3 linked regions of the Mus musculus genome follow. The protein of the gene in region 3 purifies or fractionates together with the protein of the main gene of each other region. This does not show direct contact. Links are inferred from orthologs where the notes say so. Each region holds a gene or a part of one and is shown on either strand. Other genes may lie near its edges. The genes, in order: Arhgef2, Fuca1 and Mark2.

Evidence for each region.
Region 1: the proteins of Mark2 (region 3) and Arhgef2 purify together in Homo sapiens (affinity purification with western blotting; 3 studies listed by BioGRID and IntAct, with this or other methods). This does not show direct contact. The link is inferred for Mus musculus from reciprocal best matches to the Homo sapiens genes MARK2 and ARHGEF2.
Region 2: the proteins of Mark2 (region 3) and Fuca1 purify together in Homo sapiens (affinity purification with mass spectrometry; 3 studies listed by BioGRID and IntAct, counting the BioPlex papers as one, with this or other methods). This does not show direct contact. The link is inferred for Mus musculus from reciprocal best matches to the Homo sapiens genes MARK2 and FUCA1.

The regions. Positions count from the first base shown.
Region 1 is NC_000069.6:88,624,801-88,634,656, forward strand, and holds part of Arhgef2 (rho guanine nucleotide exchange factor 2), read left to right. Parts: intron 1-1,937; exon of another isoform or gene 1,938-4,724; coding exon of another isoform or gene 4,725-4,763; intron 4,764-4,986; coding exon 4,987-5,131; intron 5,132-7,110; coding exon 7,111-7,178; intron 7,179-7,475; coding exon 7,476-7,539; intron 7,540-8,112; coding exon 8,113-8,242; intron 8,243-8,457; coding exon 8,458-8,567; intron 8,568-8,699; coding exon 8,700-8,846; intron 8,847-9,609; coding exon 9,610-9,856. UniProt on the Homo sapiens protein: Activates Rho-GTPases by promoting the exchange of GDP for GTP.
Region 2 is NC_000070.6:135,926,573-135,937,374, reverse strand, and holds part of Fuca1 (tissue alpha-L-fucosidase precursor), read right to left. Parts: intron 7,477-10,802; coding exon 7,371-7,476; intron 4,477-7,370; coding exon 4,276-4,476; intron 2,686-4,275; coding exon 2,495-2,685; intron 453-2,494; coding exon 353-452; intron 1-352. UniProt on the Homo sapiens protein: Alpha-L-fucosidase is responsible for hydrolyzing the alpha-1,6-linked fucose joined to the reducing-end N-acetylglucosamine of the carbohydrate moieties of glycoproteins.
Region 3 is NC_000085.6:7,335,406-7,346,307, forward strand, and holds the start of Mark2 (serine/threonine-protein kinase MARK2), read right to left. Parts: upstream 6,456-10,902; 5' UTR 5,817-6,455; coding exon 5,763-5,816; intron 1-5,762. UniProt on the Homo sapiens protein: Serine/threonine-protein kinase. Involved in cell polarity and microtubule dynamics regulation. Phosphorylates CRTC2/TORC2, DCX, HDAC7, KIF13B, MAP2, MAP4 and RAB11FIP2. Phosphorylates the microtubule-associated protein MAPT/TAU.

The sequences.
Region 1 (9,856 bases), on a different chromosome or scaffold from region 3:
TGTCTGCATCTGGCTACCTTCTCTCAGCGTCCAGTCTCCCCGTTTCCTTCTCTGGAGTGTTTGAAGGAGCAGGGCCTCGAATAGACCATCCAAAGTCGTCCTCCTGGACTCGCATCAGGAATCTTCTCTCTCCTCGCTCTCCAGCTCATAGATTTCCCCTTGTGGGATTGAAACCAAGTTTGCAAGCTCTGCACTGCTCAACAACAGCCCTTCTTCCCCTTCACAACCAGTGACCCTGAGTCTCAGCTGTCCAGGGTGGAGCCACGGGCATTTAGTCCCAGTGGGCTCCTTCAAGAGTCTGAAGGAAGAGGCTGAGGCCACTCTCTCACAGTCAGTGGTGATTGTGAACACCACACAGATCTCCCAGAGGCCCTGGTGTGGAGAGAGGAGGGAGGTGAGAACTGGGAGAGCAGCACTGACTCACCCTGAGGAGCCCGGGAAGCCAGAGCCTGGGTTTGCCTTTCTGTGAATCATTGTTTTCTCTTAGCCTAGGGCACAAGATGGGGAGAACTTGTCTCCCCACAGTGGCCAAGACTTGGTGTGAAAATGGAAGGAGGTTTTGAGTTAACATTCTGACCCCCCCCAGGGGAGGACTCAGTCAGAGGGAGTAGGAGATCTGGCTTGGGAGTGCTCCAGGAAGAGGGAAAGGAAGGACTGGAAAGGGCACAGAAGTTCCTATGGTTCTCACAGGCAGTAAAGGGTGTCCCTAGAGCAGGGGTACTACAGGAGACCCTGTCTTTCCTTCCTTTTCTTCTTTCTTTTTTTTTTTTTTAAGATTTATTTATTTTACATATGTGAGTACAATGTCACTGTCTTCAGACACACCAGATGAGGGCATCAGATCTCATTACAGATGGTTGTGAGCCAGCCACCATATGGTTGCTGGGACTTGAACTCAGGACCTCTGGAAGAGCAGTCAGTGCTCTCGACCGCTGAGCCATCTCTCCAGCCCCATTCCTTGCTTTTTTACCTCCCTTCCCCAGCACACACTGGGTGCCCGCTGTACATGGGTGAGGCTTTTGGGTTTCAGGAGGAAAGTTACCTTGAACTCCTGATCCTTCTGCCCCTCATCTCGCCAAGTGCTGGCGCTACAGGAGCGTGCCAAAACACCTAAGCTTGTTCCGTTTGATAGTCAGGTAACCCCACGTGTAACATTAGCCTGGACAGTGCCCGTGAGCAGGCAAGACTTCCGAGATCTTTGAAGAAGAAGCAAGAAGACATCCAGAGCTGGACAGCAGAGGGTTGGGTCAAGCAGAAAGGGCCCTGAGCCCTAAGGTGGATGTTTGGACTGAGGAATGACTGGTCTTTCTTGCCCCTGTGGTGCTAGGATTAAATCCAGTGCTTCATATCTATTAGACCCTTGAACCCTGAGCAACATCCCCTGCCCTTTTTAGACATATTCTTTTAAGATAGTGTCTTGCTAAGTAGCCCAGGTTGGCTTTGAACTGACCATGCTCCTACCTCAGCCTTCCCAGTGTCTGGGCTTCCTGGGGTGTACACCATCCCTAGCTACGATTGCTTCTTCTCCTGGACATACTGTGACATGGAGGAGGTGAAGAGCTGTTCTGCGTGCTGTGTGTAAACGGGAGACAGTGAATCAATCCAGCCAAACCCCCACCCCCCAGTAAGCAGTTCCCATGTTAGTCCATTCTCCACAGCTTGAGCCCTGGGGCGGGCTCAGTCCAGCTATCTCTGGGACAATAGTGCTAGGCCGTGCCAGGGCCGGATCGCTGGTGCTGGGATGTGCTGTTGCTGCTGCGGCTGCTGCCCTCTGCTTGCCCACCTAGAGCAGGGGTCACTTGGAGAGAGGGTGAGTTTTGGTTAGGTGGAAGGCAAGGACTAGAGAAGCTGGGTCTGTGTGGGCAGTGGTGCAAGGAGGGAAAGGGCTATCAGAGCCCTTTCTGGTCCCAGTCTCTTGGCCACTCCCAACAGAATTGTCCAGGCAGGTAGTACAGAGAGCTGTGCGGTAGGAACCTATCACAGCTTTAGAATATGTCTGCAGGCACACTGTTCTTTCTGGAGTGGCCCTTGCCAGGCGCGGTGTTCTGGTGTCTGCTAGTCTCCTTTTACTTACTTGTTTGTTTTTATTTAAATTTGTCATAAATATTCATACTCTAGATTGGTGTCCTAGAGAAGCGTGGGAGGGCAGAGAGGTGAAGAGAGAGAGAGAGGGAGAGAGAGAGAGCATGTGGCAAGAGATATTTAGGCTTGGCCTTTGAAGTCCAAGGAGGTGAATTTGAGGTGACTTTGATCTTAAAAAACAAAAACAAAAACAAACAATTAAAGAGTTCCCACAAGGCAGCTGGAGTGCCAAGCAGTGGGAGACTTTCCTATTGATTCAGGTAGGTAGGAGCCACTAGAGCAGGGAATGCTGAAATGGCCCATACTAGAGTCTGCAGGAGGAGTGTCCCTCAGAGGAGGAGCCAGCCGCAGGGACAGGGAGGGAGGACCATCCCTTAGAGAAGTAGATGCATGGCTGAGAGAGACGGTGCAGTGTATGGAGGAGTGTCTGCAGCAAGAGCGGGGACAGGAGAGAGGACCAAGATAAGGAGAGAAGAGAGCAGGCCAGATAAAAAGAAGAGCCCTGACTTGCACGCCTGCAAGTCCTGAACTTTGGTGACTGAGGCAGGAGGATTACCTTTAGTTCAAGGCTAGACAGGGCTTCATAGTGAGACCCTGACTCAAAACAAAATAAATCAAAAAGTTACCAAATGAAACCCCAACAGTATAGTTAGGGGAGAAAGGAAAAATGTATGGCGGAGGTGGTAAAGTGAAGGGGGGACATAAGGAGGTGATCTCTGTCTAGACCACTGGGCTCCATCATCCTCAGGCCACCCCAAGGCCCAGGGCTCTCTGGTCCATTGCTCTTTGGCCACCCCAAGGCCCAGGGCTCTGTGGTCCACTGCTCTCCAGCCCCTGGACAGTTGACTCAGCACCTTTCTGCTTCCCCTTTTCCCATCCTCCCCTCTAACTGCCAGCATGGTTAGTGGCGTAGGCAGGACTGCTCATCCAGGCCCAGGCTGAATGCTTTTCACTGAATTGTGACTTTTTGTCCTAGGGTCCCAGCCAGTGTCCTCAACTTGGGGCTCCTACTCTCAGCCCCAGTCACCTGAATGATGTCCTTGTCTCCTAACATTTTTTCCCCCTTAGAGATAAGGTTTCTCTGTGCAGCTCTGGCTTTCCTCTCCTGGAACTTACTATGTAGACCAGGCTGCCCTCGAAGTCTGAGATTTGCGAGACTCTGCCACCCAAATGCTAGTTTTTTTTTTTTTTAAAGATTTATTTATTGTTATATGTAAGTACACTGTAGCTGTTTTCAGACAGACCAGAGAACAGAGAAGGGTGTCAGATCTCATTACAGATGGTTGTGAGCCACCATGTGGTTGCTGGGATTTGAACTCAGGACCTTTGGAAAAGCAGTCAGTGCTCCTAACCGCCGAGCCGTCTCTCCAGCCCCAAATGCTAGGTTTAAAGACGAGCTTCACTCCTGCCTGGCTTGTCCTCTAACATCTTTAATTAATTAACTTAACTAATTACTTTAGATACAGGGTCTCACTGTGACATTCTGACTGGCTTGGAATTTGCTACGTAGGCTAGTGTGGCCTCAGACTCAGAGATCGGCCTGCCTCTCCTCCCCAGTGCTGGGATTAAAGCCGTGCCCCACTGTTCCATTTATCCTGCCTTTTCTGACTTATTGGTTCCGTGCCATGGTTTGGACGTGGGTGTCAGTTTGTTCTTCTGCCGTGTGGGACCTGGGAATCGACCAGGGTCATCGGGTGCCTTTGCTTTTCTTTTAAGCTGTCTTCTAACCTGTTTGTTTTGTGTTGTGTTTTGTTTTTGATCGTAGTGGTGGTGTTTTGAGATAGGGCCTCATATCACTATATAGCCAAGGATGTCCTTGAACTCCCAAGCTTCCTGCCTCCACCTCAGTGCTGTTTGTGCATGAGTGTGTGCGCATGCACATACACGTTGTTGTTGTTGTTGTTGTTTTGAGACAGTTGTTCAGTAGCCCAGGCTTGCTGCAATAGTCTTAGTCTTCCTGTCTTAGTCAGGAGTTAACAGGCATGGGCTACCACAGCTGACATTGTCTTTTCACCTTTTCTGGCTCTTGGAGCTTGGGGAGGAACAGTAAAGAAGTCAAGGACTCTGACAGAAGCTGGAGGAGGTAGGGGAAGCTTAAAGGCAAAGGTAAACATAGACCTCGGGGTAAGAAGGTACTCAAGAGTGCTGCAGGCCTAGCGCTGTGATCTGGAGTTCACAGGGTTTCTTGGGTACTGAGCCCCCACCTCTGTACGTACACACACACACACACACACACACACACACACACACACTCTGCTAGTGAGGGATCTCTTTTGGGCTTTGACTGAGTGTAAGTAGAAGAGTTAGAGGGTTCGGATCCTGGCCTCTGAGTTGATGGTGTCTGAAGAGGCATCCTGGCCCCCACCCCCAGCCAATCTAATAGGGGAATCTCCTGCTTTGCCATCCCTGCTCCCCCATGACTGCTCTGAAGACAGCAGCTCCAACACCCGTTGTCATGGTTATGAGAGGAGCTAACTCCCATAGATTGGAAAGCGCTGGTGAGCTGGCACCCTCTGCTTCACTGGTCCTCCCCTCTCTCTGCGCATCTTCCCCCGGCACAGAGAAATCGTACAGCAGCCCGGGGGCGAGCAGAGCTAAGGCTGGAAGGTGGAGTGAGGACGCAGAGCTCTAGAGCTAGGGAGATGAGTGGGAACAGGAGGCAGCCCAGTCGCCGGGGTCAGGTAGGTCAGAGGCCTCGAAGCCTCAGGGACTGACTACCCAGGGCCTGGTCATGCCTGGACAGCCACCTCGGACACCCGTGCATAGTGGGTTATGCTTTAGCAATTGCTGTCACTTCAGCCTCTCTAGGCAGGCATTTCTCCCATGCCTCTGCTGTTTATCTGGACGCCAGGTACCTGACTGAGTGTCTTCTGACCTCACTTCTGTCTCTCAATCTTTCCACAGACCCGGGAAAAGGAGAAGATGAAGGAAGCTAAAGATGCCCGCTATACCAACGGCCACCTCTTCACCACCATCTCCGTCTCCGGCATGACCATGTGCTATGCCTGTAACAAGAGCATCACAGCCAAGGAAGCCCTCATTTGTCCTAGTAAGTTTTTGGTCCCAAAGGTGACCTAGCCTCAGTTGCCATCGACCTCTAGTTCTCCCGTCCGTCTGTCCTTCCCACCCTGGATCCTTTAAAGGACTCTATTTTCCGGATCCCAGCCGGGCTCAAGTGTCATGCTCAGGTGCTTGGTCTCCTGCCACCCTTGCCCACACTGGGTGGTGGCTATTGGAATGTGGCGTAAGCTGGTTGGTCTCTTGGGTGTGGGGTGACAGAGGCTGTTGTTACTCTCCATGCAGCTGTCGCTGGCTTGGGTATCCCCCTCGCCTCTTGAACAGCTGCTGACAGTTCGGAGAACTGCCTGGAGAATGAGCAGGAATGTGTGTTATAATGCAGGGTGGGAGAGGAGTAGGGAGCGGAGGGAAGCTGCCAGCCTGCAGCTGCCTCTGCCCATCTCCCTGGACAGCTTAGACGCGAGGACTCCTTGCCCCTGCCTTTCTGTTGCATGTGAGGGAAAAGAAGTCTGCAGATTCAAGGACAGGCTGGGATTATCCATTTCTTTATCCCTGATAAAGAAATTCAGCAGAGACCTGAATGATGGAGGGAAGGGCTCAAAACTCCTAATCTTGCCCATGTCTAACCTTTATCCTGCCCCAGGAAGGAGACAGAGGAATTCCGACCTCCTTAGGATACCATTGCAGAGGGCTCTAGCTCCGCCCTGCCCCACCCCCACCCCCACCCCCATCCCCATGCCTTCCCTGGAGTAGACTCGAGTGTTGTACCTTGATACTGACCAACACAACTCCACTCTAGCCTCCTAATCCCTTTGGGATGTTGGAAAGGAATCCCAGATAGAACCAGGGAGGCCTACCCCCCTCAAAAAGAACCAGAGAGGCCTGCCCCCCCCACTTCTTTACCACTTGATCTAGAGCCAAAAGGATGAGGAGGTAACCCCAATCTAGATCCCTCTAGAGACCTGGCAAAATACTCAATCCGGAAGCTTGTTGCCAGGGGAACTGGGGAGGTGGGTAGCACTATTTTGAGAGCAGGTGGAAAGCGGGGGCTCGATTCAGAGACACTAGGTGTTGTGGGTAGGGGAAGGGAGCTCCAGGGGGTGGGCACTGCCACAGCCTGGCTTCTGTCGGCCCCTTCTGCCCCACCCTGTGTGCCTTGTATTTGTGGAAGTGAGCGTGGTGTTGGGCATTGTCTGCCTGAGTTAGCAGAGTTTCCTGTGGTGTTTGGGGGTGGGGTGGGGGGAGCTGTAGAGCTGAGGGCCTGTCAGGAAGGGAACAGCCATGGTCCCGAGTGCAGGCTCAGCTAGTTCAGCTACTCCTTTTTCCTTTCCTACTTGATGGAGAGGTGGGGTGGGGGATGGGGGGAAGCAGATGGAGTGTGGGAGCTGTAGTTTGCCTTACTGGGGAACAGAACTTCCCAGGCCTACAAGAGAAAAGGCCCCCAGAATGGAGTTAATGCAGAAGGCTGCCAAGATGGGAAAGGGAAGGGCCACTGGTCCAGACTTTGAAGCAGTAGGCAGGAGCCTCTGGCATATCCATGGAGGAGTATGGATTTTAGATCTGAGCACATCTAAGTGTAGCTGGGTGACCTAGGTAAGCAAGCAGCGTTCAGAGCAGATTCTTCATCTGTGAAGTGAGTGGGGAGCTTTCCTCGGAGACCACTGTGAGTTCTGGCTCTCTGTCAGCTTCTGGTCTTGGGAGCCCCCGTGATCATCTGCAGTGTCATCTCCTTTGTGCTCTTTGCTCTTCCCAAGCAGCAGACACACCTTTCTTCCCTCTGGTCCTCCGGGCTGTAGTATTTCCCAACCTCCTGGATGGTCCACACCAGACCCCTCTCACTTCAGTACCTGCTTGAAGGAAGGGGGGAGGACACACATGTGATAATGACCAACAACTCTGGGAGAGTGTCTACAAGCTATATGGCCTGGGGAGTTGGGTGTTTACATGTGGGTGTGTCACCCCTAGTACCACCCCAGCCCTCCCTTACCCTCTCTACCCCCACCCTGCCAGCATGTAACGTGACCATCCACAACCGCTGTAAAGACACCCTGGCCAACTGTACCAAGGTCAAGCAGAAGGTGAGCTAGATGGCAGGGTGGGCAGAGGGCTTGCGGGGAGGGCATCGCCATCCCTGCGGGCCTTTCCACACATCCCTCACCCTCTGTCCCTCTCCTTGCCGTGGGGCATCCCAGACCCTCGGCCTGTGTAAACACAGCCCTGCCACACTAGTTTACCTATATCCCGATGTCCTTAACTGCGGGGTCAACTTTCTCCCAAGAGGGCGGATGCCAGGATCTGGCTTGTTCTGGGTGTGTGGCAGGGCAGTCTTTGGGTGACAGCTGTTTGTGGTGTCTCTCTTCTGCTCTGTGTCACAGCAACAGAAAGCTGCACTGCTGAGGAACAACACTGCTTTGCAGTCTGTCTCCCTTCGAAGTAAGAGTGAGTTCACAGGGCCACCAAGCCACTGAGCCCACGGGCTCTGCTGCCCCCCTGAGGTCACACCCAGACACACAAAGCTCCTTTTGGAAGTGCCTTGGGAGGGAGTGCCATAAAGGATGGTCCTTATTCTGGGGCTTAGTATGTAGACAGGCTAGTCCACATAGGGATGAGGGACAAGGATGGCAGGTTACTCGAGCCTTGCCACATGCTGTTACCTATACTTCATTTGGGGACTGAGTGTCCACTGTCAGTTCAGGAAAGCGTGATGCCCAGGTTCCTTCTCCCCAGCTTGGATCACTGCAGACAGGTCTCACATTTCCAGCCTTCAGTTTGCTTATAGGCTTGGCTGGGTTGGGGTGGGGGTGGGAAGAACATATAAGAACAGGCTCTTAATTCATGGTGGTGGCTTGCACAGTGGACAGTAGCATTACCTTGATGGGCCTTGCCAATTTTCTTTGCCTCTTAGGGAGCTGAGGACAGGCCAGACAGTTCCCCATGGCTCCCCGTGAGGAGCCTGGGAGAGCAAAGAGCCAGGGAATTAAGCTTTCTCCTGCTTGGCCTCCTTCCTTACAGCGACCACCAGAGAGCGGCCAACGTCTGCCATTTACCCTTCCGACAGCTTCCGGCAGTCCCTCCTGGGTTCTCGGCGGGGCCTCTCCTCCTTATCTTTGGCCAAAAGTGTTTCCACTACCAACATTGCTGGGTGAGCTTCTGTTTGGGGCAGAGGGGGCCTGGCAGGAGAGAGTATAGCCCATGAGAGCGCTGTGTCTTCCCCTGAGTTCAGAGCTGGAGACAGATACGAGAAAGATAAGTTCCAGCACAGAATAGCTATCCCTAGGAGCCCAAGCTTGGGTCCCAACCTGGGAAGGGACCTCCTGCCCGAGTTGGGGTGATGCAGATGGCCTCCACTTCCTTCAGACATTTCAATGATGAGTCTCCTCTGGGGCTGCGTCAGATCCTCTCCCAGTCCACAGACTCCCTCAACATGCGGAACCGAACCCTGTCCGTGGAATCCCTTATTGATGAAGGTGAGCAGACCCGGCCCTGGGGAGAATCGTGTTGGCAAGACGGTGGTGTGAGAAGCCTGGGATGGGAAGGAAGAGGATGTAGGGATGGGAGAGCTAGGCTCTGAGGTGCCAGCGGCACTGATGCACACGCAGGTGTAGAAGTGTTCTACAATGAGCTGATGAGCGACTTTGAGATGGATGAGAAGGACTTTGAGGCGGATTCTTGGAGCCTTGCCGTGGACAGCAGCTTCCTGCAGCAGCACAAAAAGGAAGTGATGAAGAAGCAAGATGTCATCTATGGTATGCTAAGGCCACTTTGGTTCCCCTGCACCTGTCTTTTAATCCAGGCTTTGCTTACCTGAGTCTTCTCCCTGCCACCTACCTGTTGGGACACCCTCATCCCATCCTTGGCCTCCATGTCCCCAGCTAGTACCAACTTGTTCCCTGTACACCTACTTCTTGGTGCCGTTGGCAATTTTGTTTTTTTTGTTTTGTTTTGTTTTGTTTTTGTTTTCGGTTTTTCGAGACAGGGTTTCTCTGTGTAGCCCTGGCTGTCCTGGAACTCACTTTGTAGACCAGGCTAGCCTCGAACTCAGAAATCCGCCTGCCTCTGCCTTCCAAGTGCTGGGATTAAAAGCGTGCGCCACCACCGCCCAGCACTGTTGACAATTTTGTAATTTTATATTTAAGAGATTAGAGTCTCAGCATGTAGGCCAGGCTGGTCTCAAACTCTCGGTCCTCCTGCCTCAGCCTCCGGAGTTCTGAGATTTTGAGTACATACCACTGCACCCAGCTCCCAATGCTCTACTCATATCTCTTGCTCAAGTCAGTCCTCGGTCTTCATCCTGCCTCTCCCATGGCCAACACTGTTCCGGGAACTGGGAAGCCTACACCTCTAACACACAGAACTCTTGCCCTGAAAGAGTGTACTGCTTGAAATGACAAGGAAGTGGTCTGAGACGACAGCCACACAAGCGTTAACTTGGAAGAGATCCACATAAGAATCCCATGAGTTGTGCCCGAGGTAGAGTACGGCAGGAACAAATGTCCCTTTGTCCCGTAGAGCTGATCCAGACAGAGCTGCACCACGTGAGAACCTTGAAGATTATGACCCGCCTCTTTCGCACTGGGATGCTGGAAGAGTTGCAGATGGAGCCAGAAGTGGTCCAGGGCCTGTTCCCCTGCGTGGATGAACTCAGTGACATTCACACACGTTTCCTTAATCAGCTTCTGGAACGGCGGCGCCAGGCTCTATGTCCAGGCAGCACCCGGAACTTTGTCATCCATCGTTTGGGTGACTTGCTCATCAG
Region 2 (10,802 bases), on a different chromosome or scaffold from region 3:
ACAGGTAATGCTTAGTGAGACACTAGCCTTCATGGGAGGACATGTAGACAATTCCGCCGTTAGACCTCAAGTCTTATCGATTTATGACTTGAATTGTTGCCGTAAACTTACTATGAGCTTATTGGAATGTAAAAGTATTTAGAAAATCATGTGATCAATTACCCTTCTCTAATAGTTCTGCCTGCTGGTTGTATGAGGTAGCTTTTAGAGACAGTATTTATACTGAGGACGGAAGTAGAGGGAGTGAGAGTGACAAGACCAGAGATCATCAGTCTCTGGCCTTCGTGCAGTGCTGGGTCCTGTGAAGGCCCGGGCAGGTCTGTGGCAGGAGGGACTGACAGAGTCTCCTTACCTTTGTGGCCGAGGTCGTTTTGGGGGATTTGAGGTTCACGATCCCATTTTCTGGCCAGTACAGGAAAGTGGCGTAAACAGTTGCGTTTTTAGTAGTGTACCTGGGAACAAAGAGACATCACTGCCCACGTCTGAGTCCAGCTGTTATCCCTAACATTCCCCCACACCCCAGTTAGATAGCTCACCCATCAAAGCCCTGGTGTTTGTCATCACCACTAGGGAGTGCAGTAAGGTGCTCGGGAAGGAAAGGGTCTGGAAAATTCATTGGGATTTTCTATTATCCCTTCACTGGGTTTTGTTAAGGTTTGTTGAAAAATTAAAATTAACCCTTGGGCAACTTATTTTCTAGAGCTTTCCCTGATGCCTCACTAGCCTTAAGCTTGCTGCCTCCCCCTTTCTCCCAAAAAAGAAGAGAAAGAAAAGAAAGACAGCCTAGTGGTAGCCATTAAAGGTGGTCCATGCACCATTCAGGAAGTAGATGCAGGTACATAGATATCTGTGAGTTCAAGTCCTTCCTGTCTACACACAGTTACATGCTGTCTCAAAAACAAACAACAAGCTGGGCTGTGGTGGTGCACGCCTTTAATCCCAGCACTTGGGAGGCAGAGGCAGGTGAATTTCTGAGTTCGAGGCCAGCCTGGTCTACAAAGTATGTCCCAGGACAGCCAGGGCTACACAGAGAAACCCTGTCTTGAAAAACCGAAAAAACAAAAACAAAAACCTTCTGCTGGGTGTGGTGATGCAGACATAGAATCCCAGCTACTAAGGAGGCTGAGGCAGGAGGACAGCTTGTCCCCAGGAGGTGGGGGACAGCCTACGCAGCATGGTGAAACCATGACCTACACATAGGAAAGGTACTCATTAGGAGCCGACGCCACAGAACTTGGTATTGAAACCTTCTCAACTCCAGATCCACGAGAAAACAACAGAGGGTGAAACAAGTGAAACACACAAGGGTGACACAAAGGTGACACATCCCCTGGCCCGAGAGGTCACCGTGTTCAAAGACAGGATAACAACCAGCTCACAGAAAATCATCCATAGGGGAGAAGAACAAAGGCACTCTGGTGTGGCACCAGGCTCCCTGCTCAGGCCTGGCGCTCCGCGGGGTCCTCACACAGATGATGGTAACTAGTCTTCAAATCGAGTCTAGGAAGCCAAGTACCATCACACACTTTGCAGTTGAAAAAACTGAGGTCCAGGGTCAAATAACTAGATCTAGAAGTCCGTGTACAAATAGGAAAAATTTAGGGTGGAGCTCTGCACAGGGTGGGTGGAGACAGAACCCAGCTGGGACATGAATCTTACAGCAAGAGGCAAGTAGCCAGGCAAGGACCTGAGGATGTGCCAGGTCCACAACAGCCACAGGCCAATGCTGGCCCACATCGGAAGTATGAAGTACAACACTGATAGGCTGTCCTGTGTGGTTTGAGCTCACTTAGAAGCTGGCTCTGGAAGCAGGGCGCCTTCCACCGAATTTTGGACCCAAGCATATTTGTCTCAAAGTGTCCTGAGGCCCCTTATCAGGGGCTGGGCTGCCCCCTAACTCCACGTCAGGAACGGAAAGAGAACAGATCAGAAGCAAAACCCCTGAGTTTTTGAGAACAGCTAGGTTAGCCATCTCCAACAGGGCTCTCATTGTCCCTGATACAAAGCACCCGTGTGTGTGTGTGTGTGGGGGGGGGTGGCGGGTCAGGAAGCCAGAGGCTCAGCCATGGGCAGCTCATCCGCGGAGACAAGGAACACTTGAAACTCCAGCTGACTCCCCCAGCTTCCCCAGTTGATTTCTGCTGGTGTTCGTGAGCCTCAGAGTGATGACATCACTCACTGTATTGTCTTACTTGTTTAGTGAGAAGTCTCACTCTGCTCTACCCAGGACTCCCTGTCAGGAACTCCAGCCTTAAGGGCTTCCCCAAGTGATTTTGGTTGGGTGTTTAAAGTACTCAGTTTAATATTTTGCCATCTATCTATAATCTATAATCAATCTACCTATAATCTATGTATCTATAATGTATGTATGTATGTATCTATCTATCAGCTATCACTTGTTACTAATTCTTTGACTTTAGCTTTACTATCACTCTGAACTGAACCATGGCTATTATCAGTCACTCTCCTGACCACAAGAGAAGGCAGGGCTCACCACACAACCGTCTTGTTCTTTTCCGACTGCACCCTCCAGGGTTTGGAGGCATAGATGGCCTCCCCGTTGATCTGCAGCCACTTGCCGACAGCAAGAAGCCTTTCTTGGAAGATGGGGACGATCAGACCATCTTTAGTTGGTCCAATGTTGAGAAGATAGTTGCCTCCCAAACTTACCGTCTGAACCAATTCCTAAAGAAGGCAGAAACAATAAAAACTGAGGTGTGACTACCAAGCCTGGCAGTGTCTAGAACACACAGACATTAGGGAATGCTAAGAGAAAAATCCCTGGCTTCAATCCTTAGCACCACAAAGGGGAAATGGGGGGGGGGTGAGTTACACCTTAGAGCTGGGTACGGCAGCAAATGTTGTTTAAGTACAGATTATATGCACCTTCGGCAAAACCGATGAAAGGGAAGCTGGGCGTGCTAGCCCATGCCTGTAATCTCTGAGGAGGGAAGAGGCAAGACGACCAGGAGTTCAAGGCTAGCCTTGGCTACCAAATTTGAGGCCAGCAGGGACTCCCAGAAGACTCGGCCTCAACAAAGAATACATACCATAAAGAGACATTCTGAAGACACTGGAGAGCAGGTATCTGCTGTGACCGCTAACAACTGTTGCTCAAGGCAGTCCAGGACTAATTTTACATACAGAAAAATTTAAAGGCGAGAGCCCATTAGAGAACACCTAAGGAAACTTCCATTGACTTTTGGTGTCTCCTCCTACTCTTGATTTTACGTAGCTGCAGCTACACATGGCACTTTATTCCATACCGAAGCAGCCGGCTGAGTACTCTTCAGTGTAGCTGTCCCGCCTACTGAATCACCCAGTAAGGAATGGAAACCACTCACATGCGAACTGAAACACCCCTGGGAAGGGGCTGGGAAACGATGGCCCAGAGGGGGCGTGCTTGCTTTATGAACAAGAAGACCTGAGCTCAGAACTCAGGTTCAAAACAAGACACACAAAAACCAGCAATGGCCAAAAGACTCTGGGTGTTGTGCTGGGTGTCACAAACACACTTGTGAACACATCAAAACAAACATTAGCACATGTTATGTTACCTGTGTACACACACACACACACACTCCACAAAGACAAGAGAAAGTTCTGGAAGAACAGCTCTGTAGAAAGAGCTTCCCCTGAGGCTGAGAAGATGTCGAAGGCAATGACCTCAGACAGTGAAGTCCCTTGCCACCAATGTGAGTGACGTAAGTTTGATCCTCGGGACTCAGGGTGGAAGGAGAGAAGTGACTCTCAAGCTGACCTCTGACCTCTGCATATACAACATGGCACACACTTGCCCCCACCCCAAACAAATAAGGAGACATAGTTTCAAGTTTTCAAATTCCAACCCCTTCCTCAGTGATAGGGACAATGTCCTTAGGAGAGCTTTGGTCTTGCTGGAGCAGCTGTGGCCTCGATGAAAGGAGTGTGTCACCGATGGGGTGGGCAATGAGACCCTCCTCCTACCACGTGACAGTCAGTCTTCTCCTGCTTGCCTTCAGAACAAGATGTAGAACTCTCAGCTCCTCCTGCACCATGCCTGCCTGGATGCTGTTATGCTCCCACCTTGATGATAATGGACTGAACCTCTGAACCTGTAAGCCAGCCCCAATTAAATGTTGTCCTTATAAGAGTTGCCTTGGTCATGGTGTCTGTTCCCCCCATTAGAACCTGAAGACAGTCTCCGTGTACTGTGGCCCGAGCAGGCTGGAGCCACTGGACTCCTGGTCAGAGGGCAGCTCAAAGACAGACGAACAGCTATGGCAATGCTCTTACCTCGATGATTTCATTTTCCTTGGCGATGGTCGACATGGTCATGTCTTTTCGATAGCCCCAGGATGCTCTGTCCATGCTGGTGCACATCTCCCACTTGTGGTCTGGCAAGCTCTGTGGCTTGTATTTGTCTTGACAGTTGTAGTACCCTCCATGATGACAGGAGCAGTTCTGGCCCCACCGGTCATTCACTATCACCTCATCCTAAAGGAGGGAGGAGAACGGGGTCATCGGCACAGCACCGCCTGGCTCCTTTATGCGACGCAGCTCCCTCCGGCAACAGTGTGTTTGGAAGGAGGAAGAGCAGGACTACACGAGTGCTTTCCCCTGGTGCTCGCTTGCTCTACAGAGCACATGCGGGACTCTAGACGTTTTTTGGCTGTCCCAGTGAGGGCCGTGCTGCTACCCAGTGAGAGAGACCAGAGATGCTGAGAAATGTCCTACAGTATTGAAGACAGTGCCTACTACAAAGCAGCAACCAGGGCTGGAGAGATGGCTTGGTGGGTAAGAACACTGGCTGTTTTTCTAGAGGACCCAGGTTCAATTCCTAGCACTCACATGGCAGCTCAAAAAAAAAAAAAAAAAAAAAAAAAAAAAAGGAAAGAAAAAGAAAAAAGAAGAGAGCTGTCTGTAACTCACACAACCCTCCCCCCAGATATACATGGAGGCAAATTCCAATGCACATGAAATCACCAAAAACCAAAGCAGCATCCAGCCCCTATCGTCAGCAGTGCCCGAGCCCAGGGACCCAGCAGAGGGATGCATGGACTAAGTGTGTATATAGAGAGAGTGCCTGTGGCCCAGGAGATGGCTCAGAGGGTAAAGCACTTAATTCGTAAGCCTGAGGCCTCTCCAGCACTCATTTGAGATGGCGCAATGGTTAAGAGTGCTTGATGCTTTGACAGGAGATCTGGTGCCGCGTTCTGGCTTCTATGGGGTTTTGCCTACACACATTACTCATAAACTTACACAGGCAAACATTCATACACATATAATAAACAATTAAAAAACTTGTGCGAGTGTTTTGCCTGCATGTATGTCAGTGCACAAGAAGGCCAGAAGAGGGCATCAGCTGCCCTTGTGCTGTAGTTCCAGGTGGTTGTGATTCACCTAGTGAGAGCATGCAGGGTAAGGAACTCAAAGAGCCTCTGCTCTGAGCCCTCTCCCCAGCCCTGGCTGTCATTTTTTTTATTTTTATTTTTAATGTGATTGGCATTTGCTTCCTTCCCGACACTGCATCTTTGCTTATGTTTTTTTTTTTCTTTTGTGATTCTCCTTAATGGGGCTGTCATCCCATGCACTATACGACCCAGCCCCATGAAGGCCCAGCCCGGAGGAAAGGCACCTACCTCTCTGGGTAGTCCTGGCTGTCCTGGAACTCGATTTGTAGACATGCTGGCCTCTGACTCATAGAGATCCACCTGCCTCTACCTCCTCAGTGCTGGGATCAACGTTGTATGCCATCCCACCCAGCTGTTTAATTTGTTTCTTGAGATAAGAGTCTTACTATGCAGCCATGGCTAGCCTGGGAACACACTGGGTAGACCAGGCTGGCCTCAAACTCATAGAGATCTATCCACCTGTCTCCTGAGTGCTGGGGTTAAAGGCGTGCACCACCACATCTGGTCCATCTCAAAGTCTGAATGATGGCCATCAACTGCTCACTCATAACGGTACATAACTGAGGCAGAGACAGTGGTGCCATGGTGAGTTACAGAGTGTTTTCCCTTTAAACGCTGAGCAGAGACAGATGTGGACAATTTAGACCATGGCATCCCGTCTGTGTTAACTACCTGGGGATGAACTGCACATCTGGGAGTCCCCAGAGACTCGGGGGACCCCTGGAAGCCAGGCTTGCCCTGCTGTTGGCCTGCCCTCCCGTGAGTGAGTGAGTGAGTCTGTCTCCAGCATGAGAGCCACCTCCACCAGCACTCACCACTCAGGGGTCTCTTCTTTCTCTCCTTCCCATTTTCTGAGTTTAGTAATGACTTCTCAATACGACCCCCACAGACAGGACTCCACCAGGCCACCTTCATCCAAGCTAAGTTTTAGTGCTTCTCTCTCTCTCTCTCTCTCTCTCTCTCTCTCTCTCTCTCTCTCTCTCTTCCTTATATGTAAGTACACTGTAGCTGTCTTCAGGGCGTCAGATTCCATTACAGATGGTTGTGAGCCACCATGTGGTGGCTGGGATTTGAACTCAGGACCATCGAAGAGCAGTCGGTGCTCTTAACCACTGAGCCATCTCTCCAGCTCCCGGTTTTGGTGTCTCTGATTACACCCAGGCCGGTGCATGCGAAGCACCTCTCTACCACCAACTAAGCTATTTCTCCAGCTACCAAGCTCCCCCCTCTCTCTCATTTTTTGAAACAGAATTTCTGTGTGGTTCTGGCTGTCCTAGAACTCACTCTGTAGACCAGACTGGCCTGAAACTCAAAGAGATCTGTCTGCTTCTACCTCCAGATGCTGAGATCAAAGGCGTGCGCCACCACCGCCCGGCCCGACCTGCTTTATACTTAGATCTTTCTTTAAAATCTATAAACCAAGAACCTGTAAAATCTTTGGCATTTTCTATCAGAGATCAAGACCTCCGTCATTCAGTCCAAGGTCCATAACACAAGGTGTAAACTGGCAGCCTGTGTACTGGCCAGTTACAGGGAAGGCTCAGTTACCCAAGCACCCTACAAAACCCAGCATAGGGCTGGTGAGATGGCTCAGTGGTTAAGAGCACTGACTGCTCTTCCGAAGGTCCAGAGTTCAATTCTCAGCAACCACATGGTGGCTCAGAACCATCCCTAACGAAATCTGATGCCCTTTTTTGGAGTGTCTGAAGACAGCCACACTGTACTTACATATAATAAATAAATAAATCTAAATAAATAAATAAATAAATAAATAAAACCCAGCATAAAGCTAGGAATGGTGCCTCACACCCATAATAATCCCAGCTCTTGGAGAGCGGAGGCACGATTGCTAGGACTGCCCCTGCTACAGCCTACCTACCCCAGCTGAGACTATGGGTAAGTATCAGCGTGCTCATTCACACTCTTTTTTTTTTTTTTCAGAACCTGTAATTCATAAGGTAGTTGATAACCACCTACCTTGACAGGGCTATCGTTGTAGAGCCAAGCAAGGAAGCTGGTGGAGTTCCAGTACGTGTCAGGACACTCCCACTCCCCGTCGGACCAGATCAGGTCAGGCTTGTAGCTGGAACACATGGGACGAGAACAGTTTGCCATCAGAATCTGTATCTAGTCCAGTCTTACGGACAGGTATTACAATAAATATTTACAAATTAGAACTGGGAGTCTGGCTCTGAGGGAGAGCACTTGCCTATCACATGTGAGGTCATGAGTTCCACTCCTAGCTTGTCAGAAGGAAGTCTCTTGATTGGAAAGGACCATAAAAATCACAATGCAGAAACTAAAGAGATAAGAAATCTTTTTTTTTTTTTTTTTGCTAACACAACCACAGTCTAAAAGAGCCTCAGAGACAGGGTGTGGAGAGGTGGCTCTGTAGTGCGGGGTCAGCAGTGGATGGCTCAGGCTCTGGAAGAGAACGGGCTGCTCGTCTAGAAGTTGAGACTCTCGTCTGATTTCCCACACCCACAATGGAGGTTCACAATCACCCATCCTTCAGTTCCCCTGGGGATCTGATGCCACTTTCTGGCCTCTGTTGGCACCAGGCGTACATGGAGAGCATAGACAAACATGCAGGCAAAACACTCAAACAGCTAAAGTAACGATTTTAGGGCCGGGTGTGGTGGCGCACGCCTTTAATCCCAGCACTCGGGAAGCAGAGGCAGGGGAATTTCTGAGTTCGAGGCCAGCCTGGTCTACAGAGTGAGTTCCAGGACAGCCAGGGCTACATAGTGATACCCTGTCTCGAGAAAAACAAACCAAAACAAACCAAAACCAAAAACCAAAAACCAAAACCAAAAAGTAACAATTTAATTTAATTAAAAGGAGAGCTGCAGGGGCTGGTGAACTGGCTCAGTGTGTAAAGGCGCCTGCTTGCCAAGTCTCACAACCTGAGTTCAGTCCCGGGCACACTGACTCTGCAAGTGGTCTTCTGACCTCTGCATGCACACCATGGCACATGCATGCACACACGTCCCAAATAAACTAAAGGGTAATAATCATAGTAATAATAGCAATAGTAATAATAATAATAAACTGCGGTACTAAGGCACATTTCCCCTAATCTCCTTCGCTGCCCCTTTAGAAAAGGAACTACATATAATCAGTAACTAATTAGGGGGGCTGCTCCCAGGGCTCCAGTCACCTCAGGGGGTGAGCGAGCCTGCTACTGCTCGCAGAGAATTGGGTTTGCTTCCCAACGTCATGGCGGCTCCCAACTGCTTATTTCAGGGAATTTGATGCTCTTTGGTTTCCTCAGGCACCTGCTGCCCATGGTGTACACGAACAACACATAAATAATAATTAAGCTTTGACAAAGAGGTTGGTGCTTGGGCAGGCCAGGAGGCTTGCCTTGAGCTGGCAAAGCTTCTGCTGCCAAGCCTGATGACCAAGCCTGACCCCCAGAATCCTCCTGGAAGGAGAGAACCAACTTCCGCAGGCTGACCTCTGACCTCCTCCACATGCGTGCTCATAAGGCATACGTGCTCACGGACACATCGTAATCAAACGTGACTGTGGCTCAGTGGCAGAGCACTGCTCAGCAAGTTGAAAGACCCATGTCTTGTCAGGGACCAAGAAAATAAAAAAAAGAGCTAGGTGTGGTAGCATTTGGGAACCTGAACCTGAGTTATTGCAAATCAGAGGCCACCCTGGGGCTCTATGCCCATCACCTTGTCAGCTCCTGTGATTTCTAACCCCAGTTCAGGGATAAAGAAGAAAGCAAGGGGGCTGGCAAGATGGCTCAGTGGGTAAGAGCACTTAAAGACTGCTCTTCCAAAGGTCCTGAGTTCAAATCCCAGCAACCACATGGTGGCTCACAACCATCTGTAATGGGATCTGACGCCCTCTTCTGGTGTGTCTGAAGACAGCTACTTACATATATAATTAATAAGTAAATAAATATTATTAAAAAAAGAAGAAAGCAAGGGAGAGACTAAGCAAGTTACTCTAAGCCACAAACTTTACAAAAGAAAAAAGCTAGGGGCACTGGCACAGGCCTATAATTCCAGCACGAAGAAAATCCCAAGCCATCAGGATTGCTATAGATGTGAGGTCAGCCAAGGTTAGATAAGACTATAGAGGGAGGAGAGAGGAAAGAAGAAAAACAACAACAACCCAAAAACTAAACTTGATTTCAGAACTCCAGACACCTGCACTTGTCCTGCCCTCTACAGGTGTTTTACAACTGTCCTGACAGTCATCTGACTAAAACCAGATGCAAGGGGACTGGCTAGAAGTTTGGGACAGTGGCTCATGGCTGTAATCCCATCACTCAGGGGATGCTTGAAATTAGAGGCCATCCTAGGTTACAAAGGAAGACCTGTCTCAAAAACAAACTAACCAACCAGCCAGCCAGCCAGCTGAGAATGGAGGCTCAGCCTGAAATCCTCACATTTCAGAGGCTGAAGCGGGAGCACCAACAAGGACTACAAAGTGAGATCTTACCATAAAAAGAAAAGCACACGCCTTTAATCCCAGCACTCGGGAGGCAGAGGCAGGCGATTTCTGAGTTCCAGGCCAGCCTGGTCTACAAAGTGAGTTCCAGGACAGCCAGGGCCACACAGAGAAACCCTGTCTCGAAAAACCAAAAAGGCAGGTGGAGCTCTGAGTTTGAAGCCAGTTTGGGCTACATAGTGATTTTCAAGATAGTCAGAGATACACAGAGAAACCTTATCTTGAAAAACCAAAGAAAGAGAGAAATTCAAACATAATAACAAAAATAAAATATATAAAGTGAGAGTTAGGGCGCGTAGCCTCCCCCAGCCTTGAGCAGGCTGGCTCAGACCTGTTCTGCCACTGTTAAGGAGACCACTCAGGGTGGAGTCTTCTGACCTAGATAGGCCAATTGTTCTGCCACCTTTGAGCTTATCTCCAAGACACTGCTACCTGTCTCAGGAAGACAGGTTCAGAAACCTGTCTTCCTGAGACATTCCTGAATAAGCAACAACTTGGTGACAAAGCATCAAGAACCTGGCGTGGTGGGGGATGGGCCTTCCCCCTTTATAAACTCAAGACTCTTAAGTAAACTTTGGGCCTTGATCAGTATCTTTGTCTTGGTCTCTTGCCATCTTCTCTCCATTCAGGCCCAGCCTCCCCTTCAGGAACCCGGTTCTCGTGGCCGCGGGCTACAGGGGCGAAGAAGCCCCCCTTGGGCTCCAAGGGTCCCCCATGCAGGGGTGGCTCCCACATATAACTAGGGAAAGCATTGAACGGATTAGCAAGAGGGGCAGTGGGTGAAAGGGCTTGCTGATCCTTGGGGTCCACACGGTAGATGAGAAAACTAACTTCCCAAAATTGTCCTCTGACTTGAACACGTGAGTTGTGGCACGCCAACGCCACTCATCCTCCAACCAATCAGTCAATCGACATAAAAGAAAACATTGGGCAGGTTAG
Region 3 (10,902 bases):
TCTATGTAGTCCTGGCTGTCCTAGAACTTGCTATGTAGACCAGGCTGGCCTCAAACTCAAAGATACCTGCCTCCACTGGGATTGAAGGTATGTGCTACCATGCCTGGATATAAAAATAATTTTTTAAATTAAAAAATGAATGAAGAGCTGAGGCAGGAGGATCTCTATGGGGTTGAAGCTAGCCAGTTCTACAGAGTGAGTTCCAGGACAGCCAAGTGTATACAGAGAAACCATGTCTAAAACAAACAGACAAACAAACAAACAAGTAAATAACGATGGTATTCAATGGCTATCCCAAAAGGTTGTGGTGGGGGCAGTGACACTCTGCTAGGTTAAGCAGGGATAGCCTGCAGCCTCCAGTGCCAGCATGGGGAAAGGGTGAGTTCCTCCCCCAGGTTTGTAAAGGCTTATTCTTCTTCCTTGTGCTGAAACAGAAGGGGAAAGCACGCAGCTAACACGTCAGTGACTCACACTCATGTTTGATGAAGGCTGGGAGAAAGCCTAGAGAACCCAAGCTTCAAATGCAAAACGACAAATACTGGAATCTCCCATCAAGAGAAGGAAACTCAGTCACCTATCCTGTTTGTCATCTTGCTGAGATTCCAAGGAAAGGCCAAGCTGAAACACCAACCTTTCCATATAGCTCTGAGTTTTTGCTTTGATAGGAAAGCATCAAACCTGGCAGCAGCAACATAAGCAGAAGGGAACAAGGCCAGCCCTCCACACATACCCCTCAGCACAGAGGCCAGGCAGCTGGGCTTCCAACTTAACCAAGTAGAGGGAAGCAGCTGAGCCTGGGTACAGCAGGAACCTTGACCAGGCAGCCTAAGGCTTAGGTGGCCAGGCTGCCTCCTGGCCCTTTCCATCTGCTGAAGTTACCACATCCCAACCCATTAACGGGCTTCAAAGTGCTGCTGGGGGGAGTCCATTTAGCACAGACACTATCACGGGGCCAAAGATGGTACCCAGCCCCCAACCCACTTGTCAATAATGTGCCACAAAGTCTGAGGCCTGACTGCATTCTAAGCATAAAATATTCATTCAAGTCAACATAATACATATGTAGGGCCATTGTAGAAGCTCCTGAGGGAAGAGAAATGCCAGTTAGGTAGCTAAGTGCTCCATGAGAAAACAGTTCATGAAGGCCTGGAGCTAGTCTTAGTCAAATGCCCTTTGAGAATCTGGCTGTTCTTCCAAAGGGAGACCATCAGCCAGAGAAATGCTGACTCCTGAGAGATCTCACTGTACAAGCCTCTCAGGCAAACAAGGTTCTCCATCTCTTTTTACCTCATAAGTATCAACTAGGCCAAGACATGTATGCCCAAGATTTTCAGCCCAAACTATTGTCACAGAATAAAAGATGCACCTACCCCTATGCAAACTTGGTTTCAATCCAAAGCAGGCCAACTTCCAACCGCTTACTTGTATCATCTGTGTAGCTAGCTACCCAAATCCTCAGAATGGAGAAGCATTATTATAATTCACTCTACAATTACTTTTAAGGTCAAAAAGTACAGCGTCACTGTCAAGTTTCAGAGAGACATTACTCTAACAAGCCTCACATAGACTCTCTAAGGTCCAGCAGATTAAACTGTGAGGTCTAACATTCACTCACATCCACACCCTGAAGGCAGAGCCCCACCTCATCATCAAGAGTCAAATCACAGAATCCCACATCATCAAAAATGAAGTATTCAGACCAGTGTTGACCAAAAGGAAACTGGAATCTCACAAGGTGTCTATGGGATGGCTTAATTCTTCCACCAAACCCGTTCTCACATCCACCTTAATGGAAAGCAAACCTTCAGCCATTGGCTTGTTAGGCAAATGCTACACCACTAAATTATAGCTAGTCTTTTTACTTTGGATCTGGAGAGACAGAGTCTCACTAAGTTGCTAGCCTTGAGTTTATCCTGTAGCTCAAACAGAACTTGGATCTGAGCCTGCCTCAGCTCTATACTGCTGGGTATGAGGCTTTTTGTTGCTGCTGTTATCCTTATCAACCACCACCACCACCACATTTATTTAGACACAGAGAGACAGAAAGGGAGAGAGAGGGAGAGAGGGAGAAGGAGGGAGGAAGTGGGGAGAGAGGGAGAGAGGGAGAGAGAGAATGAGAACGAGCATGTGTGTTTGTTAGTATTTTGCCAGAGTGAGGTTCAGCTTTTCCACCAAGTATGTGAGTCTCAGGGATCCAGCTCAGGTCATCAGGCTTTGTGGCAAGTGCCCTTACCCATTAAGCCATTTTGTCAGCCCTGAGCAGTATGTTTTTATAGGATTCTATAACTTAGATTTGTCCTCTTCTTCAATCTTCCAGACTCCTCTTTGAGAATATATTCTGCCACCCACTCTCTAGAAGAGTTGGGGGCAGAACTGTCATTTGACTGATGGGAAGCAAAAGGCTCCTGTTTTCTATCAGATACTCTGTTTCCAGGTTATGAAGCTATGTGTCCCCTCCCCCAGAAATTAGGGAAAGCGCTAGCCTGGGGTAGGTGAACTCTGGAAGTTGTACCCTTCTCCACACTTGACTGTTAAGGCTGCTGCTGGCTGGAAGACAAACAGTCATCTTGCTGATTACTTTCAAGGCTGCGAAGCCTCCAGGCCAGCAGAGGCATTTGGAAAAGCAGCTCACAGAAAGCTCAGCTCACAGACTTTAGAAACCCCAAAACCACTAGCCCCAGGTCAGAATCCTGCAAAAGGAAGTCATCTCTGGTGATAGTGCACATCTGAAATCAGGTGTCACCAAAATTATCTTCAAGACAGAGCTTGGCTTTCTTTTATCTACTTTCACTGTTAAAAGCAGAGTTGACAGCAAACAGGCAATCTTCTGCAACATAAGGTTTATTTTTATGCTTCAACATGTTCTGTGTGTTTCAGAAGTGATCAAAGAGCTCCTAGAAACAGCTTATCAGCCACAATTTTAAAGAAAGAAGGAGAAAAGGAAGAGATTGGAAACATCCACAGAAGTTTGCTTACTTATTCTCTGGTAAAACCAGCTTAACTAATTTAAATCTAAATAAGGTGACGGTGGAGAGGGACCTGCCCAGCCAAATTCTTTGCTTTTTATTTCCTAACACTGAGGTGACTGCAATGACTGAGCTTCCACAATGGCTTCACTATGTGCAATGGGACTGAGGAGAAGGTATTTAGTTTCAACCTGGTAGCCGGGTCTACTCTGAAGAAGGTGGATGTTGAACTGACTCTTGCTTTTTGTTTTTGTTTCTAAAGCACACAGGGTTGGGCTGGGGAGTATAACGTGTCTATCAAGAACAAGGCTCTGAGCAAATCAGCAGCACAAGAAACAAAGAGAAACAGCTAGGCACCTGGAAGGGTGTGCACCTAGCTTTTCCAAGTCCAAGTTTTTTCGAAGGCGGTGGCAGAACATGAAGCTGACAGTGTGAGTGGAGAATCAGGAACTGACTGCATGCAGCTCGGTCCACCAAGAACAGAAATGGAGCCTAAGAGGAGCAGAATGACAAGGCAGCCTCTGCTCTGGACCAAGTTATCACGAAGCAGCTCACGTGCCAAACTGGCCACTGATTACCACTCTCCTGAAATCAGTGTACATGCATCAAACCTCAACTTCATGACCCAATACTGTGTGGAGCACATCTGAGCACACAGAAGACCAATAGTGCATTTACACTTAGTAAACAGTCAAAGAAACCACACCGAGGCCACTCTGCCCAACACGGTGCCTCCACAGCCTGCCTCTCTGGGGAACAGGCAGGTCAACCACGCCCCACATGCCTGAAAGTACCAGTCAGTCACTTGGCCTCCTTCTCCCTGCTCATAACCAAGTCTGGGAAAGTTCTCCAGTTAACTGAGGTCTAGCTACTGCGAGAAGTAGGAGAAAGGAGGATGCACGGACCAGCCTCAGAAGAGCCTGGACAAAGTGTTTCCCAAGAGACACTGCTGGCAAGCAAGGGACTGTGCAACACAGACCAAGCTCCTCAGTTTCTGAAGATCTCTGTCCCAGGCAGGACTAGCTGCCAGACCAGGCATGAAATCAATCAACCATCCCTCCCTCTCAACCCCCTGCTCTGGCCCAAGAGCACACAGCCCCTATGTGTTATGGGTCCATCGTGTCAGAAAACTGTCCGGATGCTTCTTTAGCTCCAGGTACAGACAGCAGGAGAGTAACAGCAGCAAAGCACAGGAAAGAGATAAAGAGGGTTCTCAAAGAAGGAAGTTGATGCTAAGCAAACACAGCAGCATCGCGAGCCTACCTGGCTACAGAGAAAACAGGGAACAGGAGGGAAACACCAGGGTGTGCTGAGTAAAGCCTGCTCCTTTCCAACGAGTTTGTGTTTAGTAAAATTCACCCAGAAACATGTGACAGGCAAGGGACTGTCCAAAAGGCAGGCAGAGAGGGACACTAGAGACAGTGAAACAAAGGAGAGAAGTGTGAAGTGGAAGCAATGGCTCATAGGTGAGAGGACGACACAGAAAAGGCAAAAGCTTGGGTGACAAAAAGCAGTGATTGCCAGGATGAGAAAGGGAGAGCATAGGCCAGCCCAGGAGCTGGTGCGCAGCATAAGCAGTTAGCATACACCCTGGGACCCGCAAAGGCTAGCTAAGAGAAAGGGAATGGACAGAGCATACAAGCTGTAAACAGACTGGGAGGGGAGGAGGAGACCCATTAGGACAGGAAAGGCAGCACTGATTAAGGAGGTATTGTAAGAGAGATGGGGGAAGGTTGAGCAATAGGAAGTAGCAAACAAGAAAGATACTATGATACTATGAGAAGTGACAGCCACCAGTTTGGAAAGACAGTATCGGAATTTGTGTTGCAGTGTAAGTAGGCAGTAAAGTAGGGACTGATGCAGCTGATGCAGCCCGCAAAAGAGTGAGCAACAGGTTATGTTAATACAGCCAGACTAAAACACTGACTTTCCCACGGTAGAGGAGAGCCCAGGGATAATCTGGAAGAGCATTCAGACAGGAGGCCCAAGGACTTAAATGCCAAACCCCAGGGGGAAGAGAACAGGAGTGATCCAAAGACTCTGAAGGGAGCGGTGACTGGAACCCCAAAGGCAACCTGTGGGAAAACTATGCGCATGACAGCTGTATGGGAAACACGGAAGCGACACATGCCAGTGCCAGGAGCCTGGGAGCTCCTGCCGAAAAGAAGGGAAAGTGATGAGCAAGGAGTAGGCGAACGATTTGGAAAGGTGACGAGGGTGGAGCTGGTGGGTTGCAAGCAACAGGGAGAGCCCAATTTGGAACGGGAAAGGAGGATAGAAAAAGCTGGGGAAGTGAAAGGGGAAAGGGACCGAGAACACACTCCCGAGACACGGACTCTTGAGGGAGAAAACCGAGGATTGTGAGAGCCGGTGCGGGTAGAGAGGGTACAAAGCTAGAGAGATGCAGAAAGAGGTGGGCAACAATCCGCGGCAAATCGCGGGGTATTATTCGAGGAGCAGGAAGGTGGCTGCTTTAAGCGTGGGTGGAGGAAGACCAGAAAGGCCCCTGAGAGAAAAGGGAAGAGAGGGGGAAGCTGGGGAGATAGCACGGAAGAGCGCAGGAGGGCGGTGAGAGGCGAGGGGCGTTTGGCAGAAATACAAGTGTGCAGTTCAGTCAGGACGACGTGGGTCCCAGGTCAGGATTCGGAAGAGGGATGTGAAGGGCTGGAACCCAGGGCCAGATGACAGCCTAGGCTTGTAGAAGAAAGCAGGAGCACGAGGAGAACTGAGGGAGGGAGCCTCCGTAAGGTGCAGGGGCCCAGTCACAGAATTAGGGGAGCCCTGAGGGCTCCTTACCTGCTCCGTGTCCCTTTCGTTCAGCGTGGGTAGGGGGGTCCGAGCGCTGGACATGGCGCCGGTATCTCAGGGGAGGGAATGGAGAAGCTTGGAGGAAGATAGGGAAGGGAAGGCTAGGAGCCCGGCCGGGCGGGGCTTCTCACAGCAGGAGCACCCGCTGCATGGGCCCCGGCCGGGGGTGCGGGGAGGCCGGGCGATGGCTCACGCCAGCCCGGTGATGCACCGCTCGGGCTAGGCCTCGCCGGCTCCGAGCGGCTCCGGACCGCACCCCCCCCCCCGACCCCCGGCTGGGTTGTGCCGCCTTTCGGCCCGGCCGCGCCGCTCCGCCTACTCTCAACCGCCGCAGCCGGCCGCCTGCCTCGCTCCTCCCCTGCCCTCAGCCGCACTGCTCCGCGCCCGACACACAGGCAGCCGCCGCCGGACCTGCTGCTCCCAACATGGCCGCCACCACCGCCAGCCCTCGGCTCTTTCCGCCGGCAAGAGCCGGAAACATCCGAAACAACTAGGAACGGGAGGGGGAAGAGCCTTTTCCTCTCGGCCCAGACGATGGGTGAATTCCGGAAACTACCGAAGAAGGTAATCCCCGGGGACGCGCGCACCTCCTAGATTCCGAAGACCGAGGTTCGGCTCTGTTTACGGAAATCCACGAAGAGACTCCCCGCACCTCCAGAGCCAACCAGCAGCCACGCCTACCGGCCTTTCTCCGCCCACTTGGAGCAAGCTTTCGGCAGTTTCCGGAAACAGCCGAAGAGGCTCCGCGTGTGCTAAACCGGCCACGCCCCCGTTCCGTCGCTCGGCCGAGAGCGGTAGTCAGCCATTTCCGGCAACACCCGAGAGCTGCCGAGGCTAAGAATCTATCTCTTCGTTTCTTTCCGTCAGTTTTCGGTTATTTTCAAACCTTGAACAGGCGTGGGTCACCTGTACCTGTTGTTTGACTTAGAAAATACCGCTATTAGCTGTTCCTACAACTGATGTCCTTTGAGCCTAACGCCAACTTCCCATCCGCATGTTTAGCTCATAAAACCCACTTTATCGCTCAACCTTGCTATCAACGTGTGAGTCAACTGCCAAGTGTAGTGTCATCCTATTGCCTGTCTCCTGCTTTGCACACCCGCCCATCTTGCGACTATCTTGGCTTCTAGAAGTCTATGTCAGCCTTATATTGAGTCAGTCCCCTCATTCCTCTGTAAAGCCTGGGACAGACACCAGGTCGGACAGGCACTGGGTCAGCGTCCTTGAAACTTAACACACCTTTAAGGTACAGTATTTTTTTCAGTATTGAGAAAAATGCTTGCGTGATCTTGGCATGGAATCACATAACAAAGGCCAGCAAAATAACTCAGTTTGATCCATGGGGATCCACATAGTGAAAGGGGAGAACCAAGTCTAAAACATTGTTCCATGAGCATGCTACCCTATACACTAAATAAAAATGTAATTATATATGTATATATGTGTGTGTGTATAATATATATACATATGTATGTATATGTATATATATAAAATGAGTTGGAGAGATGGTTCAGAAGTCAAGAGGAAGGACTGGTTGCTCTCCCAGAGGACTGAGGTTTAGTACCCAGCACCCATATGGTGGTTAACAACTGTCTAACTAGTTCTAGGTGGTTTGACACCTTCTGGCTTCCACTAGGTTGCACAGACGTACATACAGGCTAAACACTCATATACACAAAAGTTAAATAGATAAATACTACAACATAGGTCAGAATGCTGGCTCATTCAGAGCCTGTACTATTTTCCAGAGAATCTGGTCAGGTCCCAGCATCCACATCAGATGGCTCCCTACCCCTTGTAACTTCAATTCCAGGGGAAATGATGCCCTCTGGCCTCTACCAGCACCCGCATGCCAGTGATACACATAAACCCATAAAAGCACAAACATAGGCACATACAAATAAATATTTCTTTAAATTACACATAACATTTCCTTTCTGCTGTTAGTTTCGATTCTATGACACAGTTTCCCACTGTAGACCAGACTGACCAAGAACTCCTGGAGCTGCCTCTGCTTCCCAAGGGCTGGGATTAAAGGTGTGCACCAACCACCCTGTCCATCCAAGTTTTTGTTGTTCTTTTGTTTTTGCTTTTTTTGGAAACAGGGTATTAAGTAGCCCAGGCTGGCCATGATATGTAACCAAGGATGGTTGAACTACTGATCCCCGGCCTTCATTTCCTCACCACTTTGATTGCAAGTGTGCACTGCCATGCCCAGCCCTAAATGACTTTTAAAATATTCTACAATGTTTAAGTCTGGAGAGACCATCTCTTTTTTTTTTTTTTGGTTTTTTGAAACAGGGTTTCTCTGTGTAGCCCTGGCTGTCCTAGAGCTCACTTTGTAGACCAGGCTGGCCTTGAACTCAGAAATCCGCCTGCCTCTGCCCCCCAAGTGCTGGGATTAAAGGCGTGCGCCACTACGCCCGGCTTGGAGAGACCATTTCATTTTCATTTTCATTTTCATTTCAAATCTCCCTTCTAAGACAAACTCATGGCAAAAGAATAGGCACTTGTTGACGATAAGGATTCCTGGGGTTGTAGGATAGTGGGAGAGCTTTAACTCCCATGCCATGAAGGAGGCCCTGGGGTCAATCTCTAGAACGAAAAATAAAATAAAATAAAACAGACAACCAAAAAGGATTCCTCCAGCTGGGTATGGTGGTCTGCCCCTGTAATCTTAGCACTAGAGAGAAGCAAAGGGGGTTGGCGAGATGGCTCAGTGGGTAAGAGCACCGACTGCTCTTCTGAAGGTCCAGAGTTCAAATCCCAGCAACCACATGGTGGCTCACAACCATCCATAACAAGATGATGCCCTCTTCTGGAGTGTCTGAAGATAGCTACAGTGTGCTTACATATAATAAATAAATAAATAAATAAATAAATAAATAAATAAATAAATAAAATCTTTTTTAAAAGAGAGAGAGAGAGAGAGAGAGAAACAAAGGCAGAAGAAAAGATGGTTCGAGGCCAGCCTGGCCTACATAATGAGTTCCAGGACAAGCAGGGCTACACAGTAAACACCCATCTCTAAAACCAAACCAAACCACAAAGACAAGTAGATGGTGAGGTGGCTCAGTAGTTCCAAGCTTGCTGCTCTTTCAGAGGACATGGGTTTGGTCCCATGGGGGCTCACAAAGCTCTTCTGGCCTCCATGAACACTACATGTGCATAGTGGGTATGCAGGCTAGCAGGTAAAACTCTAAAAATAAAAAAGGTTTAAAAACTAAAACTAAAATGTAAAACACATTCCCCAGCAGGGCAAGGTGGCATGCTTTTAATCCTAGCACTTGGAGGCAGATGGAGGTGGATTTCTGTTGGTTCAAGGTCAGCCTGCTCTACATAGTGAGGTTCGAGATGGCCTGTGTTACATAGTAAGTCCCTGTCTTGGTATGAGGGTAGGAGGGAGGATGGCAAAACCTCAGAATAGTGCAATGAAAGGACCAGACCTCTTGAAGATGTCTTTTTCCTTTTCTGGGCCTCAGTCTCCCTGTTGATAAGTGGGTTTGTTGAATTCAACAACTCTGAGGTCTTTCTCAGCTTTGGAAAGCTCCCAGCTCTTAACAGAAGTCCATGGAGGACCAGAGCCCACTCTTCCCTTTCCTCTGGAGTTTACCAAATCTGTCCGTTCTGTACCCAACATAAAGCCATGGACTTGCTTAAAACATTACGAGACTTTTGTAAGTATCATTTTAACTGTATCTTGATTATAGTTTTCTTTTTCTTATATAAGTTTTATTTATTTTATGTAACTACATACTGTCCTTGTTCAGACACACTAGAAGAGGGTATCAGATCCCATTACAGATGGTTGTGAGTCACCATGTGGTTGCTGGGATTTGAACTCGGGACCTCTGGAAGAGCAGTGAGTGCTTTTAACCACTGAGCCATCTCTCCAGCCCTGATTATAGTTTTCAAGCATGGATTTTGTAGATGACAACACACTGTTGGAGTCCCACCAAGCAGAGGTAATAGCTCAACTCAGACTGACTTCTGTTTCAAGTTATCCCTGCCCATGGTTCCATAGAAGCTGGAACTATGCCCCTGACCCTCACCCTAAACTCAACAGGAGGGATAGAGTGTGGGTCCATGAATGTGAAGAAACTGAGAGAGCTCCCAGGGTCATAGGGAAAGGACTGACCGAATTGCTGAGTGGCACCCAAGAATTGCTCACAGTGAGAGCTGTGCAGGTGCAGGGAGGAGGAAGGAGGCATTCTGTAAGGCAAAGGAATCCACAGGACTCCAGGAAGCCTCCCCATGCCCCCCACCAGCTCCACACCAGCACCACCTCTGAGAAAGAAGCTGGGAAAGCAATGCTGTAGAGTGATGGGGAAAGGGATGGAGGCCACACCACGCCCCCACCCCAAATTCAAACATGAGAATGATCTGCCCTCTGGTGGCCAAAGGGAGTCACATTGCCGAGCCTGTGCTAGACGTCACTTCTAGGACCAAAGTCTGAAGAGCAGGGAGAGAGGACACTGAAAGGTAAAGGCAGAGGCATCCAGGGAGCTTCTCCTGACCCTAGATGACTCTGCTTCATCAAGATGCCACTCAAGCCCTGATCTTCCTCTTGGTCACTTCTCCTCCTCTCACAAGCTGTTAAACCAGTTGGCCCACCCAGACTCCTTCTGATCCAGCCTCTGGACACAGCAGAATATCAAGTCTAATTCCCGTGACATTTGTACTGGGCTAGAACACCGTCCTCAACTCCCCAGTAGGCTTAAGGCAAGGCTCACTTTGTGGCCATTTGCCTATGTAGTCACATGCAGCCCTGTTCTAGGAAGGCCTCTGGACTTGATTTGATGTAAAGTTGTCATTTGTTTGTTTGTTTTTTCGAGACAGGATTTCTCTGTGTAGCCCTGGCTGTCCTGGAACTCACTCAGTAGACCAGGCTGGCCTCAAACTCAGAAATCCGCCTGCCTCTGCCTCTCAAATGCTGGGATCAGAGGCATGCGCCACCACTGCCCAGCTAAAGTTGTCATTCTTATGAAAAAAAAAAAAGTTTTAGCAAAGAAGACTCCTATTTTAGTGTGTGTGTGTGTGTGTGTGTGTGTGTGTGTGTGTGTGTTGTGTGCATCAATGTATATGTCTGTGCTCATGTGCACGTGGATACACTTAAAAACATGCCAGT